Xenopus tropicalis: one gene and its partners. The protein of the gene in region 1 interacts with the protein of each later gene in a biochemical or structural test. Links are inferred from orthologs where the notes say so. Each region holds a gene or a part of one and is shown on either strand. Other genes may lie near its edges.

What was found. The genes of interacting proteins can lie anywhere in the genome.
Region 2: of the proteins of anapc11 (region 1) and securin, one has a biochemical effect on the other in vitro, tested with the Homo sapiens proteins (3 studies listed by BioGRID). The link is inferred for Xenopus tropicalis from reciprocal best matches to the Homo sapiens genes ANAPC11 and PTTG1.
Region 3: the proteins of anapc11 (region 1) and ube2c form a complex in vitro, tested with the Homo sapiens proteins (66 studies listed by BioGRID). The link is inferred for Xenopus tropicalis from reciprocal best matches to the Homo sapiens genes ANAPC11 and UBE2C.

The regions. Positions count from the first base shown.
Region 1 is NC_030686.2:27,901,370-27,908,996, forward strand, and holds anapc11 (anaphase-promoting complex subunit 11), read left to right. Parts: upstream 1-2,645; 5' UTR 2,646-2,669; intron 2,670-2,811; 5' UTR 2,812-2,818; coding exon 2,819-2,927; intron 2,928-4,910; coding exon 4,911-5,056; 3' UTR 5,057-5,170; downstream 5,171-7,627. UniProt on the Homo sapiens protein: Together with the cullin protein ANAPC2, constitutes the catalytic component of the anaphase promoting complex/cyclosome (APC/C), a cell cycle-regulated E3 ubiquitin ligase that controls progression through mitosis and the G1 phase of the cell cycle.
Region 2 is NC_030680.2:46,747,428-46,754,905, forward strand, and holds the start of securin, read right to left. Parts: upstream 3,941-7,478; 5' UTR 3,807-3,940; intron 137-3,806; 5' UTR 133-136; coding exon 51-132; intron 1-50. UniProt on the Homo sapiens protein: Regulatory protein, which plays a central role in chromosome stability, in the p53/TP53 pathway, and DNA repair. Probably acts by blocking the action of key proteins.
Region 3 is NC_030686.2:19,652,113-19,659,540, reverse strand, and holds the start of ube2c (ubiquitin-conjugating enzyme E2 C), read right to left. Parts: upstream 3,941-7,428; 5' UTR 3,808-3,940; coding exon 3,707-3,807; intron 493-3,706; coding exon 465-492; intron 1-464. UniProt on the Homo sapiens protein: Accepts ubiquitin from the E1 complex and catalyzes its covalent attachment to other proteins. In vitro catalyzes 'Lys-11'- and 'Lys-48'-linked polyubiquitination.

The sequences.
Region 1 (7,627 bases):
GTTACCTCGCCTGATTTGGCTATGATTCCTTTCTGGTGTACATTGGGTTCCTACACCTTCTGCTTCACTGTTGGTGGAAGAGGAAGTGGTGTCAGATTATCAATTGCCATAATAGGGTGCTACTACAGAAGGAGACCATGTGGATAGGCAGATTGGACACCCTGTCACCAAAGGGATTCAATGAAAACATTACCTATTCAGGCTTCTTCTACTGTAAATTTGGTCTAATTCTTTTGGTATACAGGATTTGAACATTCCTTTGTAATCTAGGTACTATTCATTGATGCATGATTTAATCTTTAAGTTTATTATGTACTTCTTCCTTTTAAGTGCACTGATTGGGTCTCTAATATGACTTGACTATTGGACTTAAATATGAACTGACTATGTGCCCCTATACTTTGATTTATGACAAAAAAATTTCTTTATGGAAGTAAGGAATTTGTATTTCTTCACTGTATGGTCACATATTTGGGGGGTGGGTTGGGGTGGGGCCTATCCCTTAAATACTGGCATTTGGTTACATGGTTGTAGAGAGCACTTGAAGAAGGGGGCAACCCATAAACGTTTGCTGGCTCTCTAAACATACAACAAATAGTTTTGAGTGCTCTATAGTTTGCACATCTTTATGTGCATTTTTTGAAATGCAATAGAACAGTGGCAGAGTTTTTCGGTATTTGAGAAAAAAACATGAACACAAATATACTCAAGAATTTATTTAAAGTTGTGATTTATTAAAGATAAAATGCAGGAAAAAAAATCCCCACAGATTATAATAGTCAAAATTTTCAGTTTGAACAGTGTGATTTTCATTTGTGTGAAAAATGCGACTGCAACTATATTTCTTTATTATGCTAGCGCTTGAAAATAAGAAAAAAACATGGTAGTAGAAAAATAAACTACACATTGTTTGCACATTGCTAAGCGAAGTGAGTGCCATTTGGATTTGTTTGTTTTAAGTGCAGATATTCTTCTATGAGTAGTTCCAAATGGAGCACCACATACATTTTGAAGAAGGATTTGCTCCACACACAAGATTTTGCTTGGTTTCTTTAGAGCACTCTGCAATAGCCTTTTTTTCTATTTGGCGGCAGTCCCAGAAAAATTATTTAATTTAGTTAATTGGGTCCTCCCAACTTGTTTGTCCTAATTATTTTTTTTTATTTTGGCACTAGAATTAATACACAACAAATTATTTCTGCACCACAGAACTACTAATATATTTATATATAAATTCTGCCTGGCATGAAAATGTACAGGGAAGCATGCCTTTAACTTGTATGAAATACAGGTTACATAAAGTGGATACCTAGTGCAGATAGGGTTAATATTCCCTGCCAGTTAGGTAATTAGGTGGCAGCTTAGAGCAGAACTTCTACTGCAGGTAAAAAGGTTGTTGTTCCACACCTATGGGCTCTTCCTTGGATGTCGGGAGAAGACAGGTCTATCCTGTGTGTCTGTGCATCTTTTGTGTAGCTGGTGTTTTTTTTAATGATGTCAACAGATATGGTCTGCTGCTTACCAGGCATGCTGATAGATTAGCAGCCATTGTCTTCTATTATGAGAATATTATGTGTCATTTTAAGTACAAAAATACTTGGATAAATTTACACAAAGATGCACCATTAGAGAAGACAATCAGAAATATGTCAAGTACTTTCAAGAAAACATAATTTCTGATCAAAAATTGGTACAAATTTTTTGTAATCGGACCTGTCTTACTTTAATGAATGTGCCCCTATGTGTGTTATGATCAGTTAAGGTCCCCATACACGCTACGGGCGGGCGATACCGGGGAGCGTTTAGGGCCAAACGATCGGATTATGTGGGCAGCAATGGGGCAGTCGGTTCGGGGACCGCATCAACGAGCCGATGCGGTCCCCGATCCGACTGAATTTTCTAACCTGGGCGATTGATATCTGCCCAATTTCAGGCCAGATATCGGTAGGCCAGGCCCCTCGGTTCTGCCCCTACACAGGCCGATAAGCTGCCAAATCAGTCCAAGGGACCCATATCAGCAGCTATAATCGGCCTTGTATGGGGACCTTTACAAAATTCTTTTGTTTAACAGGACTTAATATCTATCTGCTATCATTTCAGTTGAACTAAGTATTAATCTGTGTGTCGCTGACTCTTCGAGATAAACTGCTACCTGAGATTAAGGTATTATATAATCATAAAGGGTTTTAGGATAATTACGCCTCGGTAAAGCAGATCTGTGAGTTTGAGTTTTATTGCAATTCATATTACGTTCAATAAACGTGGATTAAACTAAAATAAAAATCTAGAATGATTACAATTTCACTTTGCCCTAGTTTGCACAAAACGTCTTCCCATTTGGGTCAGTTCGGGAGAGGTCTCTCTGATGGCACAAGCAGAAGCTCTGTACAGCCAATACAAATGATTTGTAAGGAGACTGGGAGCTAAGGTGCCACAAGCCATGGCGATAAACAACACAAAAGTCGTCTTTTCTGTTTTCAAACAATAGAAGGTGCGAGCAGAATAAGAACAGATTTTGATGAGAGAATGTACCGCAACCGAGCAGCACTTCCCTCTTATGTTACACCGATTGGCCACGCCCACTGGGCGGCTCCGTGTGCGTCACTGCGCTACGTGTAGTCGTAACGCTCGTCCTCTGTGAGGAGGCTGTAAGCATATTTGCAGGAGGTGTAAGTAGCGATATGGGTTTTATGTGTTTTTATTATGGGAGTGCAGGCTGTGTGTGGCCCTTAGCAGTTGCACATAGTGGGGCCTGTGCATTCTAGTTCATGAGGATTGTGTGCATCATTACAATATGCTTCTGTTTTCCAGGCTCGTCATGAAGGTTCGCTTGAAGTGCTGGAATGGCGTTGCCTCTTGGCAATGGGTGGCTAATGATGACAACTGTGGGATCTGTCGTATGGCATTTAATGGCTGCTGCCCTGAATGTGAGTGCTCAGAGGAGCATAGGCCTATGTACATGCCCTGTAATGGGGCTTACTACATGGCTTCATGGCCTGTGCCAGGGTTTCTATAGTCTGGAGCCCTTTACATTCTAATGAGGATCCCTTATGTTAGAACAGTTGTACATATTTAATCCGCTAGCACACAAGCCTGTGAGTGTTACATTGGAGATTCCTCGCTTCTTTACAAATGATTTTTGTTTCTCATTTTACTGTTTTTACTTGCTTGTTCTGAAGTAAGCAAGGCTGTAGGTATTCTGACTAATAGGGATATCCTAACATGACACCCTGCTATTCTGGCATTAGGTTTAAAATAAAGAACCACTTTAAAGGAGAAGGAAAGGCAAAGTCACTTGGGGGTGCCAAAATGTTAGGCACCCCCAAGTGACTTTAATCTCTTACCTTGTACCCCGGGCTGGTGCCCCTGTTAGAGAACAGCACCGGGGTAGCTGCAGCGCTTCCTTATTCTGCGGCAAATTCCCTGGCCCGGGGCATGCGCATTAGAGTGAAAAGCTGAACTTTAACAACAAAGTTCATCTTTTCACTCTAATTGCAGGGGGCAAACGCAGAAGAAGGAAGCGCTACAGCTACCCCGGGCTGGTGCTGTTTTCTCCTAACAGGGGCACCAGCCCAGGGTACAAGGTAAGCGATTAAAGTCACTTGGGAGTGCCTAACATTTAGGCACCCCCAAGTGACTTAGGCTTTCCTTCTCCTTTAAATCATTATGGCATCAAATAATATGTGGTTCCTTAAAGGAGAACTATACCCCTGGGCACAAAAAGCACCCATAACTATCACTGCCTAGACCCCCCCCCCCTCACCTCTCCCTTATCAAAGTTTTTAAGTTTAATGTCTGTCCCTATCTCTAACCAATAGCTAATAATGCAGAGGAGCGCAGCCGCCTACCTGCCCAACATCATCTTACTGACTGAAGACACTTTGGGTCTCTCCGCCGATACGAACCTGCTTGTGCATGCGCAGTTGGGGGTAACAGGAAATCCACTTCAACTGCACATGTGCAAGCAGGTTCGGTGTCTGCGGTGAGACCCAAAGAGTCTTCAGTCAGTAAGAAGGTGGTGGGCATTAAACTTAAAAACAATGTGATTAGGGAGAGTTGAAGGGGTCTAGGCAGTGATAGTTATGGGTGCTTTTTGCGCCCGGGGGGTATAGTTCTCCTATAAAAACATGCTGTTTCCTATGGCTTTATGCAGCTGACTTCTTTCTTGTCATGAGCAGGAGAGTCAAAAGAGCCTTAGGTGCCACTGATCAATATAAATGCAATTGGATCCAAGTAGGAAGCAGAGCTAGATAGGAGGGATGCTTGCCAACTGATGGAAGTTGTATTACAGCACAGGTAAACAACAAGGCAAGTAGGTAGGCAATGGGCAGACAGGGTAAACATGGCAAAGCAAGGCAGAGTGTACTATAATGCCTACAAGTAGTTAAAGGGATTGTTCAACTTTGAATTAACTGTTAGTATGATGTAGAGAGTAATATTCTGAGACAGTTTGCAATTGGTCTTGATTTTTTATTATTTGGGGTTTTTTAATTATTTCGCTTGTCCAGCAGCAATTCGGGTTGGGCTTTCAGTGGCTATATGGTTGCTAGGTCCCAATTTAACCTAGCAACCTTGCAGTGGTTTGAAAGAGAGATTGCAATATGAACAGAGGAGCCTGAATATAAAAATAAACAATAAAAAGTAACAAAAATAATAAAACTGTAGCCTCACAGAGCAATTGATTTTGACTGCTGGGGTCAGTGACCTCCATTTGAAAGCTGCAAAGAGTTAGCAGAAGGCATATCATTCAAAAACTATAATCTAAGAATAGACCATTCTATTACATACTAAAAGTTAACTTAATGGTGAACCACCCCTTATAACTTACTACTTCATATTATACAACACTGTTCTTCTCAGGACACCTATACGCCACTATACTTCAATGTCTCTCACTCTTGCCCTTGCAGGTAAAATCCCAGGAGATGACTGCCCATTGGTGTGGGGTCACTGCTCTCACTGCTTCCACATGCATTGCATCTTAAAATGGCTGAATTCCCAGCAGGTGCAGCAGCACTGCCCTATGTGTCGTCAGGAATGGAAATTCAAAGAGTGAAATGCAAAGATTTAGTTCCATGTAGTACCCATTAAGATTGTTATATCTCTTGTAAATATCATAGTTGTGCTTGTTCCCCCATGATCTTTTCCAATAAAAACAGTTATTACTGGATCATTTTTTTTAAATCTAAGTTGCACCATTGCTCCTGGCATGGCTATTGTTATTCAAATATTATGGCAGCTGAAGTCGCCAGAAAGGTGATCTATACACAGAACAGGATGGACCCCTTTGGAAGAAATACCATATTTCATAAAGTGTGCTGTTAACTAGGGATTGTTTCAACTACATACTGAGTCAGCCAAATGCTGGGATGTTTGCCAGTATACCAAATAGAAGCTTCGCTTTCATATTTAAATGTAATCTCAAGGGAAAGCATCTTCTCCTTTCAGTTGACACTTAATCAGTGTCACATCTAATTTCCTGCAGGCTGTGTGCGCAACAATGATCATTTGTACATTTTTAAAGAAACAAAAAAATACTATATTCTATGAATCTTTAAATTGTTCTTATACTCAAGAATGTTTTTTTTTGTTTTGTTTTTTTTTGTTTTGTTTTTTTTTAAACTGCCCCTTGCATGTAACAGAGCCAGGAGTGCAGAGAATATACCCAGGTAATAGTATTATTGTAATTTAGGATGAACAGTTTATTGAGTTCAACTTTTCTGTCTCTAAATGAAACCTTCACAACTGCTATATGATCCAGAAGGCTGAAAACCCTATCTCTAATATTCCACAGAGTGGAGAAATTTTTTTTTACTGACTCCCAAGTATTCCTGCATTTTATTACTTACTAAAAAGCCATCCAACCTATTCTTTTTTTTTTTCAGTACACCATTAACAAACAGTAACTGTCAGATCTAAGATACATTGGTCATCCTCTTGTAGACAATAATTTGATACTACCCAAGTTTGCTGAATAGGACTGGAACAACCAGCAACTGGTCAAACAATTTTAACATCTTATAGGAAGATATAAGTGAGGAGTTGGGGGATGGGGGAGGCAGGCTGTGGGGCGAGGGTCAGTAAATAACAGAGCACTTATACACTATTTCATATTGGGTGTTATTTTGGTCAGTGGCTGTTGCAAATTCATCTATCCTCAGGCCCCAGACTTTTTTATATTTATCTGGGCACCTCGTGCTCATATAGGTTAGCTTGTAAAGTTGGAGAGCTTCGTTAACCAAAAATTTCCAGTGTTTTAGGGTGGGGGCTGTGGCTAGTTTCCAGGATAGGATAATTGCTTTCCTGCCATTGAAGTACCGCAACACTTTTTTTTAAGCTAGCAAATGTATCTGGCAGTACGACTGATTCAGGGAGAAAATTCCACAACTTCACAGCTGTCGCTGTAGAAAAGCACAATTTGAATATTACGATGAAACCACCTTTTTTTCTAACTTCAGTGGATGCTCTTATGTTTGCTGGGACCGACTCTTAAATAAAGGATCAGAGATTTTATTATATGATATCTATATATATTTATACATAGTTTTTATTTCTCCCCTCAGACACATCTTCTGCAGGATAAACAGCCCTTACTTGGCCAGGTGTTTTTAATAACTGAGAATAAGCACACAATTTACCAGCTTAGTTGCCCTTTGTTGGGCTCTTTATAACTCAATAATATCCAATGTGAGCACTGAAGACCAAAACTGCATGGCATATTCTAGATGGGGCCTTACCGGTGATTTGTTTAGGGGAAGAATTACTCTCTACTGTAAACCTATACCCTTTTATACAGTCAAAAAATATTTTTTCTCCCTTGCAGCTGCTGCCTGGCATTGCTTGTTACATCCAAGTTTATTATCTCCAAGTCCATCTCCATCATTGTCTGCAACTTACAATGCTGTTTTGGCACCTCTTCCTGGATGGTTTAATAACACATCAAAGCTCTAATGCTAATGCAATTAACACCTTACCTTCGTGAGATCCCTGACACATTGCTGGTTATGTTAAACATATTATGCTGATTGGAGCATAAATTATGCATTTAGAGCTGAATCGCCAGGTGGAGGTAGAATCCCTATTGTTTCTACCTCAGTTGCTGATGATTCAGCCCTGAACGCCAATTGAGGGAAGATCATAATTGGTACGTGTATGGCCACCTTTATCCATGTGTGCCCCTACATAAATAGTGGGTCTTGGGAGATAGCTCTCAGTACAAGTGAGGGAATACAGGGGTATGGGAGATAGCTCTTAGGACAAGTGAGGGAATACAGGGGTATGGGAGATAGCTCTCAGTACAAGTGAGGGAATACAGGGGTATGGGAGATAGCTCTCAGTACAAGTGAGGGAATACAGGGGTATGGGAGATAGCTCTCAGTACAAGTGAGGGAATACAGGGTTATGGGAGATAGCTCTCAGTACAAGTGAGGGAATACAGGGGTATGGGAGATAGCTCTCAGTACAAGTGAGGGAATACAGGGGTAGGGGAGATAGCTCTCAGTACAAGTGAGGGAATACAGGGGTAGGGGGGATAGCTCTCAGTACAAGTGAGGGAATACAGGGGTAGGGGAGATAGCTCTCAGTACAAGTGAGGGAATACAGGGGTAGGGGAGATAGCTCTCAGTAC
Region 2 (7,478 bases), on another chromosome or scaffold:
AATTGAACCATGCAAGTCCAAGTGTGCTACAGTTCTGGCAAGATACTTACAGCTCAAGAATGTTCCATGATCTTTAGGCAACATGCTGCGAATATCACCATTCTCTTGATCGACAAAAACTATAGTTGCCATTTTGCTAAAAGCATAAAAACTACAGTCAGTTGCCATCCAATCTTAAAGATTAAGCTTTACAGACATTATGATTCTAAGAACACAGTATAGCTCTGAATAAAATTCTCACTTAGTCTGCCAAAAAAATGTTTTTATTTTTTTTTTTATTGGTGTCTGTTTTGCCACCCACATGATTTACAGCTCACAGGTGGAAAAATGTTCAAATTACCCCTTGCATATCCTAGACTGGTAATTGCTGTTGGTGCAGTTGCAGGTCAAGCAATCAGGAATACACCTGCAGTATTAGTGCAATCACCACTAGGGGCTAGTCAGGGTATTTAGAATTTAGCCAACAAGCTAGAAATGACAGATGGCAAAGTGGTCATTACTACTAAAGGAGCAGTTCACCTTTACATAGACAGACTGAGACAGGAATATTCAAGGAATTTCTAAACAAGTTTATGGTTGCTAGGGTAATAAGACTGTATAAAATAGCAGAACATTTGGTTACTGGTGCAAGTGACCCCCATCAGATAACTGGCAAATGGTAAATAACTCAATACCAATTAAAAAATTGTTTAATTCTATAGCAAGTTATAAGCTACAATTTCTTTATCAAGTTACTTCAGTGACTTACGATTTACAGTCTGTACAGTTAGTCTGGCACCAATAAAAACAGTACTGTAGTAGCTATATAAACAATAAGCTACCAAACCATGTGACCTGCCATTAAAGTTCCAATTGGGCTGTAGGAATTACACTTGCCAAGCATGAAACCTAGTCATAATACAAAGGTTTTAGCATGCAAACAGTCACACAGAGGTCCACAAGGTCTAGATAAAACATTATGATCCACATTATATTACTTTACAAAATTTGAGAAGTATATGCCTTTACTCAAACAGTTTAAACAACAAGGCTTGTGCTGAACACACTTGCCTACTTTAATCACATTAAAACATTTCCTCACTTAAACAGGAAAACCAAAGCTGTTTCAGGTTAGGTTCTTGCAAAAACAGTTACCAGTGCACCAATAACTGTCCTGCATAATGGTGTTCCACTCATGTTTAGGTCAATATAATTAGAGGCTCATTTGTAAAGAGTGGGCAAATGTGCACCTGGGCAGTAACCCAGGACAACCTATGAATTTTTTGCTTTCATTGGGATAATTATTTAAAAAATAAATAATGCATTTGCTTTCCAAATTAAAAAGACCAACCCCTCCCCAATGGTTTAGGACAATGGCACTTCGCTTATGGCGTATATTTTTGACAAGACAAAAAACGCTTGCCAAAAATAAAGCCATACGCTGCTACCTGCGCCCCAATCCGAATGAATGTGCAGGCACATGTAGCCGATATCCGACGAAAATACGAAGGCTCACATTTTTACGCGGATATCTGCCACATGTGCCTGCACCAGAGGCCATTCCATTCATTTGGGTGCAGGCACAAGGTAGGCTAAATTTACAGTAGCGGGGCGTATTCTCAGCAAGCATTCTTCGGCTTGCCGAGAAAATGCTCATGTGGCATTAGCCTTAGGAGGAACCAGAGAATTCAGAGAAATTTCATGAAAAACCCATTTTAAAAAGGAAATAATTGAAGAGGATGCACCAAACTTTAAAGGAGAATGCAAGTCAAAATATAAAAAGCATACTGCCCAATAGTCCTCCTATTGTTTAGTAAAACCGCCACACTTTTGGCTCACCTAATCAAATATTTACTGAGTCACACTTACTTCACATTGTTTTCTTGAACAGGCAGCCATCTTTAAAAAAGGTATTCTCCCTTCCTTTCCCTCCTTGCTTCATACTGCACATATGTTTCATTCCCCCCCCCCTCGCATTTGCATGATTATGCTTGTTTTAGCTTAATCAATGAGGCAATAATAACATTGTATACATTTTTATTTAAAGGAAAAGTAAAGCCTCCAGGCAAATTTTTAGCAGCAGTGCCCCCCTCTTTAATCACTTCACTGACACTTGTTGCAACTAACTTGAGCCCTCATAGCATGTCCAGAACTACAGAGCTGCATTGGCCCCCACCTTTAGCTGTGCCCCTTCTGTTCCCAGCTGCCATCTTGGTGATCAGAAAATAGCACATACACACTGGCACCCAAACTGGGACATTGGGGTTGGACTGGCCCTGGATAAAAACCTGGTGGGTCTTAGTCCAGTTGGGCCCCTTTTTACCAAGCATGTTGCTGCTGGTCAGTAGGGGCTAGAGAAGAAGCTATTTAGACCCTTAAATCTTGTTACAGAAGTGGAATTACACAAATATAGAACACATTAGAAAGCCCAGCTTGTCTTGAAAATGATGTATAGTTTCCCTTCAGGAAATACCCCCAAAATGAAATGACAAATACTGCTGGCAAAATCCTTATTCCATGGTTCATGTAGCTGTGGGACTGGGTTTGATGACGACAGATTTACGAAGAGCTAAAAGCAAATTTATAAAATGTTGGCAAAAGGACAAAATCTGAAAGCTGCCTGTTTAAAAAACAAATTCACAAAAGTGGAGATAGAGATTTGAGAGTTAGGTGGAAAATCCAACAAATCTCCCTCCACTTTTATTTTGTCTCATTATCACCACTTTTGTGAATTCCCCCTTGTGTAGGACAAGGTGGATTGCAGTGGGAATAATCTCTAGAACACAATACAAAGCTAGACATTAGTACAGGTATCGGACCCCTTATCCGGAAACCCGTTATCCAGAAAGCTCCGAATTACGGAAAGCCCATCTCCCATAGACTCCATTATAATCAAATAATTCAGAATTGTAAAACGGATTTCCTTTTTCTATGTAGAAATAAAACTGTACCTTGTAATTGATCCCAACTAAGATATAAATAATCCTTATTGGATGCAAAACAACCCTATTGGGTTTAATTAATGTTTTATTGATTTTTTAGTAGACTTAAGGTGTTGAGATCCAAATTCCGGAAAGACCCCTTATCCGGAATACCCTTGGTCCCGAGCATTCTGGATAATGGGTCCTATACCTGTACCATAAGAGACAAAATGCAAGAAAGTGCAAAGTAGAAAATATTCAGCTTTGTGTCTTGTAAGAGGTCAAAAAGCTAGATGTTTGTCTAGCCATGTACCATAAGCGCAAAAAAAAAAATTAAAAAAAATTCATTTTATGAAAGTCTAGGGAGCCATTTGGAAAAGGTATAATGTGGCACAGAGCTATTTTCACGTAAATGAAGAACAGGGCAATGAACAAACAACTACAATTCATGGGGTACATAACATTAGTGCCCCCTGAGTCTATGGTTTCTTGCCCTTTAAGAACACTCAATCGGAATACATAATTCAAAGCTGTGCTGTAATCAATAAAATATGGGATTGGGTGTAGGGTGGGAGAGAAAAAAAACCCTCGTTTACTGCATCCCCACTTCAGTCACTGGATGTCTCTAGGGACAAGAGTCATAAGCAGTACAGTTAAACTTACAGACAATAGATTTGGCTAGATATACGCCACTACACAGAACTGCAAGTTAAAACAAAAAAACAAAAAAAAACACACACACAAACGGCCTTTACCCGCCAGCGCAAAGGCAACACACGACACAACGTTACGCTTGCTCACGGACCAAGAAAGTAACGCCGGTTCGCCTCGTGACTTACGGTAAGAGTAAAGAACATCAAAGCACCAGGCTGGGAAAGTGAAATTTAATCAAGCATCCACAACTACCTGTAACTTCTTGCGGTTACCAAACAAGGCCAGCTAGAAATCAGAATCAGTAGCCACCCACAAAACAGAGAAGCCGCGTCTAGTAGCCGTCACCTGAAAATACTTCTCAAAGACTTGACCGTGCAGCACCCAGTCCTGCGGCTTTTAAACACAAAGTTGTCTTCCCATTGGCTGAAGACCTGTAAAGCTCCCCGCCCTTTTACTAACGGCTTTGATATCATGAATCGTTGTGAAAGGGGAAGGCAGTTGCAAAACTACAGACACGTTTTTCTCCACGTTTGGATACAATACACTCAAAGATTTCTATAGTATTCTCTGCATAAATGTGGCTTCTATATATTTGCATGTTTAAAAGTTTGTTTAGTGGGGTTTTAACTTTAATTTTTATATTTTTAAGATGCAGACAGTAAAATTAAAAGACAATTTGTAATTGGTTTGCATGTTTTATTCATTGTGGTTGTTGAATTTTTTCCCCCCATACCAATCAGAAAGCTATGTTGAAGAGATAATAGAATATAAACGGTAGAGGGCCTATATAAGGCTAGTGCCACACAAATCCACCCCTATGCTCTGTCAACCTCCCCCCCCCCCCCCCATTTCTTCAAGAGTTACCTGATTTTGAAGATTCTTCCCTGGTCACTTGTCCCCCAGCAGGATTCTCCCGATTTTGAGGAAGTCAAACAAAGTTCAGTGATGAATTTAGGGCGCAGGAACAAATTTTCAGGCTCCAATTCCCCCTGCTAACATAGCTGACAGCTCTGTAAAGGGATTATGTAGTTAATTGCACTATGTTTGCCCAGGAGCAGTAACCCATAGCAACCAACCAGCAAATAAAATGTACTGGTCACCTGTTTAAAAGCAAACATCTTATTCGTTGCTATGGGTTACTGCTAATGGGTAAACTTAGTGCCTTTCATTACATATGGGGGTAAAGATCTTACCATACCCCCGAACTGTCCCGCTTTCCACGGGACTGTCCCGGTTTTAATAGCGCATCCCGCTGTCCCGGATAGGTCAATGAATGTCCCGCATTTCCGTAATAGATTACGGAAATGCTGGACATTCATTGAAGTATCCGTGACAGCGGGAGGTGCTCCTTCTTCAGCGGTTCCTCTCCTTATGCGGCCTCTTGTGCGGTGGTGACAGGCCCTTTTATAAGGTTGCGCCTCGTGCGTATTAACGTCACACATACGCACGGGGCACAACCTTATAAAAGGGCCTGTCACCGCCGTATAAGAAGCCGCATAAGGAGAGGAGCCGCTGAAGAAGAAGGAGGCACTGTATGGGGGGTACTGTCTATGGGGGGGCACTGTGTATGTGGGGTACTGTCTCAATTGGGGGCACTGTGTATGGGGGTACTGTCTCAATTGGGGGCAATGTGTATGGGGGGTACTGTCTCAATTGGGGGAACTTACTATGGGGGGTTGTGTATGGGGGGTACTTCCTATGGGGGCACTGTGTATGTACTATGGGGGGTTGTGTATGGGGGGTACTTCCTATGGGGGTACTGTGTATGGGGGGTACTGTGTATGGGGGGTACTGTCTATGGGGGCACTTTATTTCAGTGGGAGGTGCTCCTTCTTCAGCGGTTCCTCTCCTTATGCGGCCTCTTGTGCGGTGGTGACTGGCCCTTTTATAAGGTTGCGCCTCGTGCGTATTAACGTCACACATACGCACGGGGCACAACCTTATAAAAGGGCCTGTCGCCGCCGTATAAGAAGCCGCATAAGGAGAGGAGCCGCTGAAGAAGAAGGAGGCACTGTGTATGGGGGGTACTGTCTATGGGGGGGCACTGTGTATGAGGGGTACTGTCTCAATTGGGGGCACTTTGTATGGGGGGTACTGTCTCAATTGGGGGAACTTACTATGGGGGTTGTGTATGGGGGGTACTTCCTATGGGGATACTGTGTATGGGGGCACTTTCTTTGGGGGTACTGTCCATGGGGCAATTGGGGGCACTTTCTATGGGGGGTACTGTCTATGGGGGCACTGTGTATGGGGGGTACTGTCTATTGGGCCATTGGGGGAACTATTTAAGGGGGGGTGCAAAACTGGTACATAGTTATAACTCATGTATAACTGACTGCCTTCTCTCTATATTTGTATTTTATATGTAGGAGTTGCTATATTGTTTTCCTTAGGTAGTACTGTATGAGGGTAAAGCACATTTTGTGTCTAATCCCACCATTTCAACTATATAAAATAAGTATTTTTTTTTAAAAAAAATGGGGCAATTGGGGCATGGCCACAAAAGTGGGCGTGGTCAAAGAAATTTGCCGCGCTGTGCGCGCCAAATCTTTTTGTCCCACTTTTCATTTTTCAAATGTTGGGAGGTTTGATCTTACTGATATGCCTGCACCCGGAGTCATTGCATCAGGCTACACGGGGCTGCTGATTTTGGCATGAAGTATGCAGTTTCTCAGTGAAACCTGATCCATATGCCTGCACCCAGGCCGAAAGAGTACCCCCAGGTGCAGGCACATTAGGAAGCAGTTAGGAGCATAGGGGCAGAGCCTCAGATGTCGACTGTCCAGAGGCCGTGAATCCACCTGGTGTTGAACTAGCAAAAACCTAAGCCTAAGAGACTCAGGGTCCAATTTTTCTCTGGTGCGTCCAGAGATTATCAACACTAGGGACATTATTCCTGGGAAGACTTTGTCTGTAAAGGGGGTGGGTGGCGACCACCCAAAGGTGCCTGTGGCCAAGGTGTACTTGGATTGGGGTGTGAGGAGAGGTCTAAGGGAAGTGGGAGTGTCCAATGAGATTCCTGTCGATGTATTGTTAGGGAATGATTTGGGGAATATGTTCTCTGCTTTTGTGCCCAATGACCAGGTCTCACTAGGTCCAGCCGCGCTGGAGTGTGACCACTCAACTCAATCAGTAACTGCCACTGGTAAGGTACGGAGGGATAGTTGGGAGTGAGGACTGGAAGACAGGAGAGAGTGTCAAACAGTGCCTGAAACAGCAGTGTCCCAAAGTGGGGGTAAGGAGGGAGAGGGGGAGGAGAGGTTTCCCCTAGGAGTCTCCCTGGTGCAGTCAGGTAGTTTACCTGCAGTGAGGGATAACCAGCATGGGATCCCTGATCCTGTACCCAAACTGCCTGAGGTCTTGAGTGGGGGTCAGTAGATAGGCCAGACTCAGGAGTCAGTGCAGGAGTGTGGGGGACAGGTGGTTAGGACTCAGAGTAGGGTCCTAGTAAGTAGTGCCACTCAGACTGGGGTCAAGGATGGTAGCTGGGAGCCAGGTATAGCTGCAGTGCCAGAACAAGTACTGGGAGGGGGGCGGGTAGTCAGAGTCAAGGAGGGATTGCTGACAGTACCGGTTGCCCCTAAGGCAGCTACTAAACAGAGGGTGTGCCCAGAGGGGTAGGGTATGTGGGTAGAACCCAGTAGTTTATGTCGGTCTAGGACTGAGCAGGTCAGTGCCGACCAGGTGGGCATAGACTGGGTGGAAGGCGGCCAAGCAGTGTCCGAGTTCAGGCCCAGGAAATGGGGGACTAGGGACCGGCAGGAGGGCCCCACATGCACTCACGTAACTGCAGGGACAGAAGAGAACCAGGTGGGAGCAGGAGGCCAGGTGCCTACGGTAGGCAGTTACAGTTTGTGGCCTAGCACCCACACTGGCAGCCCATGCAGTAAGGGTAAAAACAAGGATGAAGTGAACATTGCGCCT
Region 3 (7,428 bases), about 8.2 Mb from region 1:
TCCATAAGCCTTGCCCCCTGTTCTCCTAATGATCTGGCAGACAAATGTGAGATTTAAATAAAACAGTAGTTGACTCTCCACCGCCTGCATCCTCTAAATCCCACAATTCCCTGCAAACATGTCATTAAGGAAAGGAACGCCACGGTGCAATGCATTGTGGATTATGTAGTTTCCACATGCTGTCTGTAAAATTTGGAAAGTTGTTACAATTTGTAACATCAATGTTTTAGTCCCTTCTCCCCTGCCAGGATTTCAAATGATGCAAGGAACTGTTTTGCAGATGGCTTTCAGCATATAAAAGTTATATTCATTTTTTGAAGGAACATATTACAGTGATATATATTAAGAGTTTTGGTGTTGTGTGTGGCTCTTACAAAACTTTGGTTGGTAAGTCAGAATTTCCCTTTAAAAAGTATAAAGCACAAGTACTATCCTCATTGTATGCACATAAAGTTTACACTCACCATTAAGGTCATCAGCTCCTGCTGTAACCTACGAGAGAAGAAAGAAAATAGGTGGGCACTTAAGCTTTGCTACAAATCACACTCACAATAAGAATTTGCTATGGGTGTGGCAGTCTTTGGCAGGCAATCTTTTCATGCATGGCCCTCTAAGAACAGCAGATCCCGGCAGAAGGGAAGAAGAGTCACTAGACATTAGGCTTTTTGAATGTTAATAACTTACTTGTTAAGCCCAAAATAATGGAGACAGATGCTAGCATTCGCCATGGAGGGATAAAGGCAGCATTATGGACAGCAGCAATAAATAATGGATGCCTCACGGTACAATATTTATGGCTATTGACAATAAGTATACATAATTGATAGGCTTCCTTAAGTAACTGGTAGTAAAAATAAGGGGCAAAGAGTAATTTTGCTAATAAAATTATAGCAATGGCAAAAGGACTAAGTGATTTAGAATTGGAATATTATGGTCATAGACAATATGGGTAAATAATGGATATCTACCAGCTGAGATGTTATGCTTCACTTGGTATTAATGTGCTTTATATGAATATAGGGGAGATTTATCAATTGGTTCTGTTGCACATAGAGGGACAAGTTAACCCTCTAACTAGTCACCATTGGTTTGATCTACATTTTCTCAACCTAATAGCCAAGTTTTTTTTTTTTTTTTTTAAACACAATACATACCTTATCCCTGTTTGGGCTTTAAACTATTCTGGCCAGCTGAACTTGCGGCCACCATATTGCCTTCCATTACATCTTAAAGAAGCTGTCCATCTTTGAGTTAACTTTAAGTATAATGTAGATAGTAATATTCTGAGAATTAAAAATGAAGACCAATTGCAAATTTGTAGATTATTTCAGCTTTTGCTTTTCAGCTTGGAGTTTCAGCAGCTATTTGGTTGCTAGGATACAAATTACCTTAGCAGCCAGGGTGTGATTTGAATGAAAGACTGATTTGAAAAGGAGAACACCTGAATAGAGAAATATAATCTGACAACAACAATTAAACTGTAGCTTCACAGAGCAATAGTTTTTTGGTTGCTGGGGTCAGTGACCCCTATTTGAAAGCTGCAAAGAGTTGGAAGGCAAAAGCTATAAAAAAAAATAAATGAAGACCACTTGAAAAGCTGCTTATAATTTGCCTTTCTATAACATACTAGAAATGAACTTAAATATTTAGCCAATTTAGCCATTTCTGCGCAGTAGCAGGCAGCTGGGGAAGTGGGAGAAGACAGAACCATCACTGGAGAAAACAAAGATTGCAGATCGGTGCAATCACAATCAGCAGGCAGCTATAGCAACCATAAACTAAGGTTGCCATTTGCTGATGGTTTTATACAGGGAAGGGAATCTGGAGGTCAACAGTGACACGCACTCTAATGAACAAAATCTCCAGTTCCTCTTCTGTGCATGCTCCACCAGGCTGATGATAATATTGACTCATTGCGTGAGTCCTATGTGAAGGCTTGGGCTCCAATGCTCATGTGTCCAAGGCTTTCACCAATGAACAGCATGGGCGGGTACGTCCACCTTTGCCGAAGCTAGTGTGAGACCCATCAGGTCTTGGCCTGGGGTCAAACCCAGAGGACTATGACACCAATCCATGGTGCACAAATCAAACAAGACAGGTGCTGAAGTGTGCGAGTGCAATGCCATGGATTGCCTTGGTAAGGCTCCAGCTGGCGGCCAAAAAGAAAAATGCCTCCCGCCGTCCTAATTGCCAGGGCAAATTAAGTTAAGCATAATTAAGCAGAAGGTGCATGTGCAAAGTCCCCAACTAAAATATGTCAGGCATTCCCTTATGGGAACACAGCTCCTCTGCTTTCATCAAGCTTCCGCCTGACAACCTAAAGGCCAGAGGACCAAGTGTTTCTCATTTCGATACTACACTTTGTTAGCCAAAAGGTCGTCCAGTCCGATAGACTGACCCATCTCAAAAAGGTGTGTGGCCACCTTTAGACATATGATTTTATTATTCTAGATTTAGACCAGAATCCTTTACCCCAAACACCCTCTGGCTACAGGACCATGACTGCAACCCCCCCCCCCCACCCCAGTGAATGGCACACCAAGTCAGTGCATTATCAATGTCTGATCCAGTTTCAGACAGTCTGAAGGCCCCATACATAGGCAGATAAGCTACAGACTAGGTCTGAAGTGGCCAAATTAGCAGCTGAAGTCTGCCTGGGATGGCATGTAAAATAACACTACCTTTGTTTAAGGCTTTAAGCAATTACAGCCATTGGGTGGGGGTGTCTTACATATTGCCTACCCCCCTCCCCAAGTCAATGGTGCTTTCCTTAATGGCCACACTTGCAGCAGAGTTGCCAGGTTGGTGTTTCTGCAAAATTGGGCTACCAATTTAAAGCCCTGGCAGGTTTCCAAGGTACAAACCCACCAAGGAACAGTTTGGGGCTATTTTTTGGAGCCTTAATCTACAGTTAGGATTAATATAAAACTACAATACCCAGCATGCAATTGGACAGTATAGATAGAGGCTCTGTTTTGTATTCCTTTTTGCTCTTTCAGGGTCAACCTGTATATTCTGCAACCTGCTCTATAGGGTATGTGATTGTACTATTACTTTCTGCTGTGATGTGGGGGCAGTTCTGCAGTTGATCATTAAGATATAACTCTCCGGATATCTTGGGACTGCTGAGAGTTGTAGTTCAGCACACCCATATGTATCTCATGTCTGGGGTTAATGCAACATTCGGAATCTAATTTTGTAGTCTTCCCAGCTGGACTGGGCACAGAGGTCAGGGAATTATCAGCATTCCCAGTAACTGGGTAGTGATTATACGCTTTAAAAAGGCATGTTTCCCATATATACTTGCACATTTTGGCCTATTTTTGGGCTACTTTCAGACTTTTGGACTGGTTTTAGAACTGACACTAAACTCTAAACTCATTTGACTGCAAGCTGGATCAGAACAATTTACTAACCATGGCAGCCACAGATCTGGACCAAAAACAGGATGTGACACTGTAGACAATGTAGCGGATATTAAAGGGAGTAGAGAAAACCTGTATATTGTAACTAAGCAGTGGAAGAGATACGTAAAATGAATGAAGTTTAGAAAACAGAGATATAGCTGCTATAAGCTGAATAAAATTTGATAGCAAAATATCTCAAGTGACCCATCTGAATTATACAGAGGGTGTGCCAAGATCCAGCTACACTGCCATCGCCATAAGCACAGCGGCCATTGTTCCCAAGAGCCGGCTCTCCTCACCTCTTTCCCACAGAGCCACGGGCGGCCGAGGTCCCCGACTCTTGTCCTTTCCTTGCAGTCACCGAGCTGGCCGCAGCTGGATCCACATTCTGTGAAGCCATCGGTATGTAAAAATGACAAAAACCGGGCCTTGAACGTTGCTGAGTATCCGGCTTCCACTCCCAGAGATCTTTGACGCTTCCTCTTAATTCTGTAACTAAACCTACCGCCCTCTATTTGAAATTTTTAACTTCTACACAAAGCGTCCAATCAGCGTCGCTTAAATATTTAATTTAACCAATCGGAATGCTCACAGAACGGTTTCCGCAGAGACTGGCAAGTTTGGTGTCGGAAGCGTAGGCGTTTTAAACAAAGGTACGGGATTGGCTAAAGTAGACTGCTATGCTTTATTGTGATTGGAAGAATTCCGTTGCCTATCAAAATAAATAAATAAATAAATAATACGTGTGTGGGAAAGTTCTGTCAGGAAAGAGTATTATCTTGAAGTTATACTTTTTATTATACTTTTTGTTTTTATTACGACGTGAAAAGTATAAAATACCTTTGCTCAAATTTCAATCGTTTGACGTTTTCTTGTAACAAGGATGTTAACTAACCCAGTCAAGTCATTAGAAGGAGAGCAGTACTTCTCTAATGTTACAGAGTAGTTGCCATAAACTGTTCCTGTCATACCACCCCTTTCCACCCCATGTAAAAGTCTGTCCAGCAAGGGGGAAACTAAAATAATCTTCCACTGAAGAGTCCCCATATGTGCTTACACAGAGCTGTCAACCCCCCTATATTTTTCTGAGTTACCCAATTTGGCTTTCTCTCCCATGTCTCTGGTCTGTTGATAGCATTCTGATTTTTCTCATTAAATTCATGCATGTGCATTCAGTGACAACATAGTGAGCATTTGCATATGCGCAATCAACAATTTTTCAGCTTCAAAGGTCAGTTATGCACATGTATTGACATCACTTCTGGTTAGCACGAAAAAATAACACTGCACATCCTTGACTATCGGAGGTTGACAGCTCTGCAACTCCCCCTATAATCTGGGTAGTTACTTAATTGCACTGTCCCTCCCCCAGTCTCCTGATGCTACAAGCAATTTCCCCAACTTTTCCTAAGGGCTCTGGCACACGGGGAGCTTAGTCGCCCGCGACAAATCTCCCTGTTCCCGGGCGACTAATCTCCCAGAAATGCCATCCCACCGGCGAAAGTGTAAATCGCCGGTGGGATGGCATACGTGGTGGCGCGATTTCACTGAAATCGCAGAAGTTGCGTTGAGAGGAAACTTCCATGCTCAACAGGCATCAAATTTAACTGAGAGATTTTGTATGGGTGAATGGTCAAAAATACCGCCATCGAGAACCAAGACACTCATCAAAGGCTATAGGAGGCGTCTAGAGGCTGTTACATTTGCAAAAGAAGGCTCAACTAAGGGGCCCATTTACTTACTCACGAACAGGCCGAATGCGTCCGATTGCGTTTTTTTCGTAATGATCGGTATTTTGCGATTTTTTCGGAAAATTATCGCGACTTTTTCGTTACCAATACGATTTTTGCGGAAAAACGCGAGTTTTTCGTAGCCATTCCGAAAGTTGTGATTTTTTCGTAGCGTTAAAACTTGCGCAAAAAGTTGTGATTTTTTCGTAGTGTTAAAACTTGCGCAAAACGTCGCGCCTTTTAAGTTTTAACGCTACGAAAAAAGCGAAACTTTTCGCGCAAGTTTTAACGCTACGAAAAAATCACAACTTTCGGAATGGCTACGAAAAACTCGCGTTTTTTTGCGCAAATCGTATTGGTAACGAAAAAGTCGCGATAATTTCCGAAAAGTCGTAAAGGCGCCGAAAAAATCGCAAAAAATACGAAAAAGTCGCAAAATGTTCGTTTTCCAATCGGAATTTTTCCAATTCAGTCGGAATTCGTGTCTTAGTAAATCAGCCCCTAAGTATTGATGTAATATCTCTGTGGGGGTGCCCAAATTTATGCACCTGTCTAATTTTGTTATGATGCATATTGCATATTTTCTGTTAATCTAATAAACTTTATGTCACTACTGTTTCCATAAGGCGCATATATATATATATATATATATATATATATATATTAAAAGGACGTTGCTACTTTGAAAGCTCAGCCAGTGATAAACAAAACTCCAAAGAATTAAGAGGGGTTCCCAAACTTTTTTTAATGACTGTTTGTATGTAGTACTCCATTTGGCAGTTCTGCCATTTGTAGAAGAATTGGGAACATAAATCCAAATATTACCAAATGGAAATCACTTGATTTCGCAATGTGCAAACAATGTGGTTTTAGTTGAGCTCCCAGCTCAAGTGAGTGCTGTTTGGGAATGTTTGGAATGATGCCTGATACACTAAATAATGGTAGATGGAATTGTAATGCAAACAAAGACACAGCTCACCTATAGTGCAGGGCTGGTCTTATAAACTGCAAGGCCAAATTGGAACCATTCTGGCGGGCCCCCTGCACAAAGTGTTGTCAGCTGGCACAGGGTTCCAGGAATGTATGGGTAAATAGTTCCTGCCTCTTACTATGTGACTGATGGTGTAACCCTTCCTTTTCACCACTTTCTCTTGTTCCATTGGCCCCCAACATTTCATGGCACAATGTGGGCCCCAAGCACTGTGCACTGACACGCCAAGCATACTACATACAGCGAGAGAGAGTGATTGGTCCCTCCAACACACTATACACAGTGAAAGGGGGGGTTTAATGTCCCAGAACACATAACAGTATTATTGGGCAATTATTGTTGGGGGCGGGATAGACAGCTTTATGTGCTTACTCCCCCTGGAGTGGGGCCCTATTGGGCCCAATAGGTTCAATTGACCTAAGGCTGGCCCTGCTATACTGGATTGGCAGAAAAAGGGCATATGTATGCAATAGTCCTTTTTAAAATCACAACCTTTTGTATTCTCAGCAGTGAGCCATCCACAGCAGCACCCGTCTCACCACCTATATATTACCTGTATATAAGCAGCAATTATCTTCCATCCATTTCCACTTAAATGTTTTTAGAGAGGTGTTTACAGCTTACTGTGTATATTTGACATAACTTTTCTTCATTTATGTGTGAGCTGCCACAGTTTGTTTTAGAGTCTAGCAAACAGCTACTGTACATAAAACACAGGTATACATGAGGCCCCTCCTCCTGTTCCAATGCCCCTTACATAAAATTGCATTAGTGATGCCCCTGTGGACAGTGCAGCTGAAAGACATCTGTTATGCCATGCAGCAATGTAGCTTGCCAGTCATATTCCCCTTCATTAATGCAATGGCAAACAGAATAATTTTTTCACCAGCTTGGGGGTGACGCCATATCCATTGAAATCACCTCCTATCACACACTACAGAATAGCCTGAAAGTGTTCTTTGCACTTAATCATCCCAGTGGCTGGCAAGTCTGAGTTATCTAAGCAAGTCTGCATATAACTGCATATCCCCAGCCTGTCCTCAGGGCCCTCCAACTATCTTGTTTTCTGGATATCTTAATTAATGATGTACCTGTGCTGCTAAGGATCATATAATATGTACTGTTGCCCAAGGACAGGTTTGGAAGCCACTGATTTTTTTCCTATGGACCAATACCTGAAAGGAATACTATCAAAGGAAAACATGTTTCTCTCAAAATGCATCAGTTAATCAAGCTTCTCCAGAAGAATTCTACATTGAAATCAGTTTTTTTTAAAGTGCAAACATTTTATTTAAATTTT